3 linked regions of the Saccharomyces cerevisiae S288C genome follow. The protein of the gene in region 3 purifies or fractionates together with the protein of the main gene of each other region. This does not show direct contact. Each region holds a gene or a part of one and is shown on either strand. Other genes may lie near its edges.

Evidence for each region.
Region 1: the proteins of RIO2 (region 3) and HRR25 purify together in Saccharomyces cerevisiae (affinity purification with mass spectrometry; 8 studies listed by BioGRID, with this or other methods). This does not show direct contact.
Region 2: the proteins of RIO2 (region 3) and RPS4A purify together in Saccharomyces cerevisiae (affinity purification with mass spectrometry; 5 studies listed by BioGRID). This does not show direct contact.

The regions. Positions count from the first base shown.
Region 1 is NC_001148.4:162,364-166,260, reverse strand, and holds HRR25 (serine/threonine protein kinase HRR25), read right to left. Parts: upstream 1,986-3,897; coding exon 501-1,985; downstream 1-500. Other genes in the region: cAMP-dependent protein kinase catalytic subunit TPK2, read right to left, coding at 1-5; PGC1 (phosphatidylglycerol phospholipase), read left to right, coding at 2,664-3,629. UniProt on the Saccharomyces cerevisiae protein: Protein kinase which phosphorylates serine and threonine residues. Can use casein as a substrate. Phosphorylates elongator complex member ELP1/IKI3 on 'Ser-1198' and 'Ser-1202' which promotes the tRNA modification function of the complex.
Region 2 is NC_001142.9:701,527-704,582, forward strand, and holds RPS4A (40S ribosomal protein eS4 RPS4A), read right to left. Parts: upstream 1,543-3,056; coding exon 1,529-1,542; intron 1,273-1,528; coding exon 501-1,272; downstream 1-500. Other genes in the region: MGM101 (Mgm101p), read left to right, coding at 1-165; YJR146W (uncharacterized protein), read left to right, coding at 2,359-2,712; HMS2 (Hms2p), read left to right, coding at 2,670-3,056.
Region 3 is NC_001146.8:253,713-257,130, reverse strand, and holds RIO2 (protein kinase RIO2), read right to left. Parts: upstream 1,779-3,418; coding exon 501-1,778; downstream 1-500. Other genes in the region: RTT106 (Rtt106p), read left to right, coding at 1-343; YNL208W (uncharacterized protein), read right to left, coding at 2,114-2,713; Hsp70 family ATPase SSB2, read right to left, coding at 3,231-3,418. UniProt on the Saccharomyces cerevisiae protein: Required for the final endonucleolytic cleavage of 20S pre-rRNA at site D in the cytoplasm, converting it into the mature 18S rRNA. Involved in normal export of the pre-40S particles from the nucleus to the cytoplasm.

The DNA of each region.
Region 1 (3,897 bases), on a different chromosome or scaffold from region 3:
TCCATACCGACAATTTTCAACAGTATGTGAGTTAACCTGAGTGAAGCTGCTGTTTGTGCCGGCTGTATATTTGCACAAACTTCCTTGGTATTCCGTCGTTATCGTCTCGTGATTGTTTCCTAATCAGACACTATAAGGCAAGTTAATTATCGAAAATACGAATTGATGCTGTCTTCTCAGAGGCCCTCCTTTAAAACCGTCCAATATTCGTGATTGATCTTCGATCGTTAGCCCTTTATTACATAAAAAAAAAACAAATTGGCCAAGAGGTGCTCCGCTCCCCCTTAATTTCCTTCCCGAAGAAAAAAATGCATAAAAAAAGTGGTTCTTTTAGCTATCATCTTTTTAGGTAAGAAGGCCAGAATTGTATATATTAACTCGATATGGAATTGTGTGTACGTATATGTAAATAATAATAATAATATATATATATATATGTGTGTGTGTATGTCTATATATACATATGTTTATTTTTGTGCGTTTTGAGCAATATATGTTGCTTACAACCAAATTGACTGGCCAGCTGGTTTATCTTGAGGCGGCTGTTGTGGATTAGATCTCATTTGTGGAGGTACAGATGCTTGATTAGTATTAAAATTATTGCTGTTTATTTGTGGGGGATACTGAGTAGCCCTGGTTGTAGCCATCGGAACTTGCTGCTGTTGCTCCTGAGAATCTCTTTGTTGCTGCTGTAGTAACGGTTCAGGATAATAATTTGGTCTTTGGCCATTTGGTTGCTGCTGTAGCTGTTGGGGCTGTGGTTGTGGCTGCGAACTTTGGACCTGCTGCTGCGGCTGCTGTTGTCTCAAGTTTTCCATACCTTTATCTAGTGCGTTCAATAATTCCTCTGGTAAAGAAGAGGCTGCATTATTATTCAAGATAGTTTGTTGTTTGATCTCTTCTGGTGAAGGATTATGTTTGTCTTCATTCTTGTAATAGTGGAAATGGGTGGGGAATTTCTTCATGGCTAACAGTTTAATCTTGTTGAAAGTTTCAGACTTGTTGTCTGTGCTGTTACTTGCACTTGCTGCATTGCTATTTGCGTTCAAATCACCTTTTTCGATGAGGAGGTCCCTTTGCTTCTCCACCATCGCCTTTGTGTAACGCAACATTGTCCAATCGAACAAGTGGTCGTTGTGATACTCTAGTTTAATACTCAGATCTTTAAACAGCCTTGCCAAGAACAAATAATCTGGCTTCTCATCGAATTTCAAATTCTTACAGTAAGCCATATATTCTTGAAACTCTAATGGTAAACCTGAACATAGAGTTTCCACGCTAACGTTTAATTTCTTTTCCATGATACGATCATACTTTTGTTTCTTGGTGGTTGCTTTCAAACCCTGCCATGGCAAAGAACCCTTACAAAAATAGATCAAGACATAACCTAGTGATTCTAAGTCATCTCTTCTACTTTGCTCTATTCCAAGATGCGTATTGACACTTGCATAACGAGCTGTACCTGTCAAGGACTTGTTCTCCCTGTAAGGAATATGACGATGTGTGTTGAAATCTCGGTATTTCTTTGATAGACCGAAATCAATAACATGAACGGTGCTACCACGGCGTCCTACCCCCATTAAAAAGTTGTCTGGTTTGATATCTCTATGAATGAACGACCTTCCATGTATATACTGAATACGGCAAAACATTTGCAAAGCCAGCATGATAACCGTCTTAAAGGAGAACCTTCTGTGACAGTAGTTGAATAAATCTTCCAAAGATGGGCCTAGAAGATCGATGACCATAGCATTATATTCACCCTCTCTGCCAAACCATCTGATGAACGGGATTCCCACACCACCGCTTAAGTATCTGTAGACGCGGGACTCATAGTCCAATTGAGGATGTCTGGACCTGATCGATTCCAGCTTGATGGCTACTTCTTCACCACTAATTAAGTTCGTGCCGTGGTAAATGTCACCAAAGGAACCACTCCCAATCTTCCTGCCAATACGAAATTTCCTTCCTACTCTTAAGTCCATCTCTTTTTAATGTATCCTTTCTATAAATATATCTTTTCTTTTTGGTTTTTTTTTTTGGTCGAATATGTCGTAACTTTTCGACTTTTTTTATCCTTGAAGTCTGGAAATATTTTTCTAAGTACCCAACAGAGGTTTAAAGATGCTACTAAGATGTGTTTTCACCACCAAATGCTTTCCTCGAGTGTCGAACCTTTCTTCTCTTTGTATTTCAACCACGTTCCATATATGTGGTCGTGTTTCAACTTTTTTTCTTCGTCTCCTTTTCCTCGTTGCACCAAAAATTCTCCAGAAAAAAAGAAATTCAAACGTGGGCTGCCTATTAGTAGTAAATACACAGACGGGAAGAAGCGTTGAAACAAAGCGAGAGTTGCAGTAACTCTTCACAGTGGTATATGATTGCCACGAAATAATCGTCGATCCAGTGGTAGTTATTCGTATATAGGAGCCTTTTATAGCAATTAGATGGTATCCATTTTGTGGTACTGTTGCGGGTAATCTGCATCACGTGACTATAACCTCTTTTAATTATATCTCTTTATACGCATGCCGTATCGAGGACAATACCGAATTGGTTTAGATCTTTTAGTATACAATTAAGGGAGATATAAAATTGGTGTTGTTGATGTTACTAGTGTTATTGATAAATAAGAAGTGTAAGATAACAACAAGGACACGAGGATGGTTGAAATTGTGGGCCACAGAGCTTTTAAAGCAAGATATCCTGAAAATACGCTACTAGCATTTGAGAAGGCTTATGCAGCAGGTGCTGATGTAATAGAAACGGATTTACAAATGACCAGCGATGGTATGGTGGTGGTAAACCATGACTCAGACACTGGTCGGATGTGGGATAAGAACTTGGTGATTGGCGAGTCGACTTGGGAGGAGGTTAAGCGATTGCGCTGCAAAGAGGATGGTTCCTTAGCAATGATGACATTGAAGGAAATTCTAACATGGGCAGTGTGCCATCCAGGAGCTAAATTGATGTTGGACATCAAATTTACCAACGAGAAAATCATCATGATCAAGACCTTTGTTATCATGTTAGAGGTTAAGAATGATCTTAAATTTTGGCAGGAGAGGATCACGTGGGGGCTTTGGTTGCTGGATTGGTACGATTTCGGTATTGAAACTGGTGTTCTGAAGGATTTCAAAGTTATTGTGATAAGTCTGTCTTTAGATATCGCCTCGCAATTTGTGAAGCGCTCTTTGACACTGAATGATCCTCACTATAAACTTTTTGGTATCAGCGTCCATTTTGTCTCCTCGTGGACAAGCCAATTTAGATTGAGATTACTACCTGTGCTTATGAAGAATGATATCAAGGTCTATTTATGGACTGTCAACAAACCTATAGATTTCAAATATCTGTGCGAATTGCCTATCCATGGTGCTATCACGGATGATCCGATCAAGGCAAGAAAGTTATGCGATGGTCATACCGTGGCGAAGAAGCCTACTGCTGAAAAAAAGTTTGTTGCGCCCAGTCTGGCATCTGTAGATGGGCTAAGATTCCATGCTTTTATCAAAGTTTATAACATCCTTTGCACGCTTCTATATTCCAAATGGGTCCATATTAAGTTGTGCGGTTGGTCTATTGCTTATGTGATTTTTTTGTTCCTTCGAACCATTCATTTTCTTTGATATCCATTCATTGACGTGAATATTATTCTGAACACTTTCTCTTTTACTTCTATATATATTTATGTTCGTATCAAAATCATGATATTATAAAACAAAATTTTCGAACCCTTTCTCTCCGCGAGATTTGAATAGTGATATTTTGGACTAAATCATAAAAAAAGAAAGAAACGATAATGTTAATAGCCATTCATACTAATTGAACACTTGAATTGTTCTGCTCTTTATTTCGAATAAATATATATATATATATATATATACGTGATATTAC
Region 2 (3,056 bases), on a different chromosome or scaffold from region 3:
TGTTGCAAAGATCTCGGCGTCGGTTCTGAATTATGGGACCCTGTTTTCATAAAGAAATTCAAAGTGGATCATTGTACTGAGAAGTTTGTGGAACATGTTACCACCAAGAGAAAGAAGAAAATTTGGTTAAGAAAGGACAGACAAGTTGAATATCCTTATAAATAGTCAATATGCGAACCATATAAGCTAATTTTAGTAAGTATATATATTCCAATACAATCACACACACACACACACACACACACACACACACATACGCATATATTGTGGTAGTGCGTAGTGTCAGTACGTCTTATCATACGCCTTCTATTTCAGGGTTAGCGTATTTTTACTATCAATATTACAATACGGATATATATACACACACCTAATATATATATTATACGTTATATTACTGCCAGTCGAAAAAGGAAGATACGATGTATTATTTTAAAATTCAATTTCTAATAAACATTAATGGAGATATACAAAAGAAGAAAATAATTAAGTTGTTATGAAATTTATAAACCTTGTTGAGCTCTTCTTCTGTCACGTTCTTCAGCAATAGACAACTTGATACCCTTACCCTTTGGCAAAGAAATGTAAGGCTTACCTTGTTCACCGATGACGAAGACATTGTTCAATCTAGTGACGAAAGTGTTGTCCAAGGAGTCCTTGATGTGAACTAAATCGAAACCACCATCGTGTCTTTCCTTGTGAACGATAGTACCGATACGACCCAAGTTACGACCACCAGTAACGTAAACCAACTTACCGGCATCGAACTTGATGAAATCAGTAATCTTACCAGAGGCCAAGTCGATCTTAACAGTGTCATTGACCTTGATGTTTGGGTCTGGGTATCTGATAGTTCTACCATCGTGGGTAACAACGTATGGAACACCCTTCTTACCTAATTGAACCTTCTTGACCTTACCCAACTTGTAAGAAGCTTCTTCATCGGTGATACGGTGGACAGCGAATCTACCCTTGACATCGTAGACCAATCTGAAGTTTTCATTGGTGGCATCTAGAGTGATGACATCCATGAAACCAGCTGGGTAGGTAGTGTCGGTTCTAACCTTACCGTCCACTTTAACGTGACGTTGCATCAAGATAGCCTTGACTTCACGGCCGTTCAAAGCATACTTTAATCTGTTTCTTAGAAAGACAATCAATGGCAAGGATTCACGCAATTTGTGTGGACCAGCAGATGGTCTTGGGGCGTAACAACCGGACAACTTGTCCAATAACCAGTGGTGTGGAGCTGCTAATCTTTTTAGATGCTTCTTTCTGTACGGAAAAAAATGAGAAAAAAGGGCAAAAATGAATGTATAATGAAGATACAGACATTTTATTTTTTTCATTGTGCTCGTTAGTAAATCATTACTCGTAAAATATTTGTACAATCCCAGGATGATCTAAAATTAAATGGACATAAACTGGTTCATTGTTGTTCCTATTCGTTTGGTTAAGACTCCACTTGTTTCTTGTCTATCATTCTTCTCATCCTTGCGTAATTATAATCAAAGTCTATAGTCAAACATACGGTCCTCTAGCCATCTTTGCGTATTGATTCTTTGGTTTGTTTTGGGCAGAAAAATCGCTATATAAGAAAGTATTTCAACACTAGATTAAATTATAGTATAATTTTTAATATACTAGTATTGCCGACAATCTCTGAAATTTCAATACTACCACACAGAACAGGACTTGCCAGGGCCAGTCCGAGCCAGCCTAACTCCAAGACCACGTACTAAGTGAATTGCTACTCCCCCTTACCACGACTACAAAGAGCTACACGGCCTCCCGGCCTAGGCCGCTGCTACTTTCAACTGATGTCACCGAAAAAAATAACGGAAAACGACAGTTCAAGAAAAAAAGAACGCAGGAAGAAAAAGGAAGCAAAATTACAGAATGTACGGCTGTTTAAAAATAAATAGTGGATGCATGGGTGCTTCCACGCGTCTCTGGGAAAAAAAACCAGGATATTTTAATGTTTGTTTATTTGTTTATTTCCTGCTGAACTGAATATTGAAAACATCGAAAAAATGCAGTACCCAGCTCTCCATTAGGACTTTTTACGTAATGACGAAAATGGACAAGCTGCGCAGGAAAGGACTACGAAAAGTATGCTGCCATAATGACAAGATAAGGCGCAACACACGTAATCATGACTAATGGTTGCACAGACGGTAGGCCAGGAGAAGGATTAGATCTCGTGCCGAACGACAGCAAGCTAGCTAGACTATGTTATCTGAGTGTAAACGAAAGCGCAGCAGTCTCTGCAAGAGCACGTGCGACGTGTCTGGTGTGCAAAAACCCTCTAGAGAAACATTGCTAAGGTTTACCGATGCAGGAAATCTTTAGTTCTAAAAGATGAAAGTCGGAAAAGCCAAAAAGAAACCGGAAATCTTCTCTGCGCATTGTTCTGTGGCCACGGCCTTCCTGGACCCGTCCTTCTTTTACCCGAACTTTGTCGCCCAAAAGGCATCTCATTATAATGACAAAACTGGATCTGCAAATATTTGGACATATATCTCCAGAACGGGCTCACTTCTCCTCTTCACCCAGGTGGTATATAGGAAGAGTAAGTGGACGCATCAGTCCGCGACATTTGCGGACTGTATATATTGCCAGTCAGGGCAGTCGCCAAGTGTGTCTCTTTCGTGTAGCGACGCACGTCAGACATGGATGCAACATCGAGGATGGAGCAGCCTGATGTCTTTGTAAGCAAACTCTACCACCTGCTGCAGGGGAACGCTTACTCGAACATAATACAATGGTCGACTGATGGCAGCAAGCTCGTCATTTGGAATCCGGACCAGTTCACCAAAGTCATCCTAGAGCGATTTTTTGGTATTCACACCTTTGCAGCATTCGTTAAGCAATTGAGCAAATATAACTTCCAGAAGGCGGGCCGCCCGGACTGCGTGGAGTTTTCCAACATTCATTTTCAAAAAGATAACATTAATAGCCTCTCACTGGTTAAAGCTCATCAGTCTGCCGCCACTCCCAATGTCGCCGCCGTCAATAATATGAATAAGCAGTGTACTTTTCACTGGGACCCTTTCAAA
Region 3 (3,418 bases):
CGAGAAAAAGGCAGGTGTGTTTTCAGACGATGATGAAGAAAATGACCAAAATTTCGAAGCTGAGAGCGACCTTTCCGATGGGAGTGGCCAAGAATCCTCAGACGGTGCAGAAGACGGAGAGGAAGCAGAAGAAGATGATGAAGAAGACGATGAAGAGGAAGACAAAAAGGGCCAAAGCGCTTTGAATAGAGATAATAGTTTTGCTTCTATAAATGGTCAACCAGAACAGGAACTCCAATACAAAGAGTTTAAGGAGCCGTTAGAACTCGAAGATATTCCGATAGAAATTGATAATGATGACGATGAAGATGATGAGGATGGATCCGGAGTAGAATACGATTGACTTAGATTCGATATTATAATATAGCATGAATACGCATATGTAAGAGTTCATAAATACCACTTTTTTTATCCTGAAGAATAACATGGCTTAAAAATCAAAAAAATTATGGATAACAACTTGATTATTTGCGGCCATTTATGCAGTCGTCTAAACTAAACTACTCTAGTATATAGTTTCCTAGTTTATCCATTTTTAGATTTTCAACACCACTGGAAAGCGCCTCTATAATACGTTCGTTCTCCTCTTCTTGTGCATCTTCACTGTCATCTTCAGAACTTTCATTATCAAGTTCGGAGTCATAGTATTCATCCTCCTCTGAATAATCGCCCTCCCCATTTTCTTCTTCGGCCTCGTCATTAGACATATCGTCATCTGAATTATAAACAGCATTTCTCATGCTTTCAACGGCAGTTTCCAGGCCCCTATCTCCTGGATGCTTTTTGCTAAATCCGGAAGCCTGCACCAATTCATCCAAATTGTCGGTTCTTTTAACGTCCCTTTTGAAATCTGGATACGCATATTTATAACCATCGCCGAAACCTTCAGTGTCGAGCATTGATGAATCAGGTTTTGGTTCGTACTTCAGTTTCTTTTTGAAGAAACGACGAATACAGTCAACATCCCTTTGGAAATAATAGTCGGCGTCTTGGTGTTGAATAGATATACATTGTGGAAAATCAATAACTACGAACCCACAATCGTTTTCATCCTCTAGTTTGTCCTTTATCATAATATTAAACTCATTAAAATCACAATGGATAAGTCCGCTATTTGCTAGATCAACGATGAAACACATCAGATCACTATAAAGCTTGGGTATATTCTTATGTTTTCTTAATCTCCTCATTGGGTAACCCTCGATAAGCTCCATAACGACTATATGACGCGAGTTATCGAATGGCTCAGGGACCTTGAAACCCTTAGAATAAAGCATGGACATAAACTGATATTCTTTATTGGCTGCCAAACGTGAAAGATGCATCCAGTTTGCCCCCTGGTTGGATTTCTTCAGATAATCTCTATTATTTCTGACGGAATGAAAAGAGGTTCTACCTAATCTGTGAATTTTCATTACTCTAGGGTTTCCATTTTTGTCACTTACTTTATAGATGTCAGATTCCTTACCAACACCAATAGTGTTACCGACAGAATAGACAGTGTCTCTGTTTAACATGGTTTTCAAAGCCAAATAATCAATACCGTTATAAGTTAGCCTGTAACCATCATATTTGACATTTCTCATTTTGGAAATAAGGCTAAGCTTGGCCAAATCACTAATGGCTCGGTTTGTTCCGGACTGCGATCTCATCCCCGAGATTTGATGAATCAAGGGAGTTGGAACGACTTCGTGACTTCTAGAACCTTGTTCAACGGCCTGGAGGACACGAAAATCATCAGTTGTCAAATATCTCATATGAGAAGTATCCAATTTCATTCTAGTCTGATTGAAAGTATGTGGTAGAAGAGATGTTTAAAATAGTATTGATTGGTCAATAGAAAGACGAGCCAAGGATAAATGGTTTAATATTATTGAGTAGTTCTTACTTTAAGCTAATTACTGATGATCCTTGACCTTACCAAAATCATGAATTGCGGGTTCCAACTTCAACAGAGAACCTCATCGCCAAATTTTTAGCTTATTTTTTCACGTTTTCTTTTCTCGAATAAGTCATTTGTTACGACATCATAATAAAACGAGTAGTATATATGTATATATAGATAAATCAAGTATGTAGTTAGCTAAAAATGACACTCACTCTGTTGAGCCATTCACCAACGTGAACCGCCATTGAATCCTTGACGACCTTGGCCCCCGAATTCCTGAGGGTTTGGACCACCGAATCCTTGGCCACCTGGCCCGCCGAATTCTTGAGGATTTGGACCACCGAATCCTTGGCCACCTGGACCACCAAACTCTTGTGGACCAGGACCTCCAAATCCTTGTGGGCCTTGTCTTCCGAAACCTTGACCGCCAGGGCCGCCTGGACCGCCAAATCCACCGTTATTGTTGTTATTGTCCTGACGGTGATGGTTGTTGTGTCCACCTTGAGGAGCACCTCCGAAGTTTGAGTTGCCGTATTGCTCTTGTTGCTTATGCTCTTTACGCTCATCAGATATCTTGTTGGCAAGGAATGCACCACCTATGGCGCCCAGCACACCACTCAACTTAGAATGGTTGTTCGACACCTTAGATCCAGCGTACGCACCGGCACTGCCACCTACAATAGTGGAAAATAAACCACGTTCACCGTTGGGGTTACCATTGTCGGCACCATATTGACCGTTGTTTGGAGCACCAGTTCTTTCTTGGTTGTTTTGCTGGTTATATTGACCTTGTTGGCCACTTGAGTAGAATTCGTTTGCAGACATTTTGGACACTTGTTAGATTGTCTTAAGTGATCTATATTTGGAAGGCTTACAAGTGTTTAGCAAGACAAATTAAAGTCTTTCTTTATAAATGACTGCTCAGATTGAGTTTTTTGCCAAGCCCAACAGCCAGCCCCTTTTCCGGTATGGGCTGTGCGGGTGCCGGAATTATTAATACTGAATATTAGCCCACGCCTCATTTTTAGCATGAACGAAGAATGCTAGCGGGGCGAAATGCGAATACAGTAAAAACTCCACATGGTTGTTTTATGCAGCCGAAAAGCAGTTTCATACGTGCCACAGCTTTGGGCAGCCAGAAAAGTTGCCTTAGTATGTTGGTGTGTATCAGTCAAACACTCGTTTGATGCCTCAAGAGGGGAAACAGAAGAATAATTGAATTTATGATTGTATGATATCTTGATCGTGATATACAGAACTAAAACTTCATCTAAGATACAAAAGCTAAGACATTAAAAATGAAAAATATATATATGTGTATAACCTTAACCAGAATGACATCTTAACGAGAAGACATGGCCTTGGTGACAACTCTCTTCAAACCAACTTCTGCCTTTCTCAACTCATCAGCGGATGGGTCTTCGATTTGCAAAGCAGCCAAAGCATCGGACAAAGCAGCTTCGATCTTGGACTTGGAACCTCTCTTCAATTTAGAAGACAAGACTGGGTCAGTGACGGTTTGTTCGATGG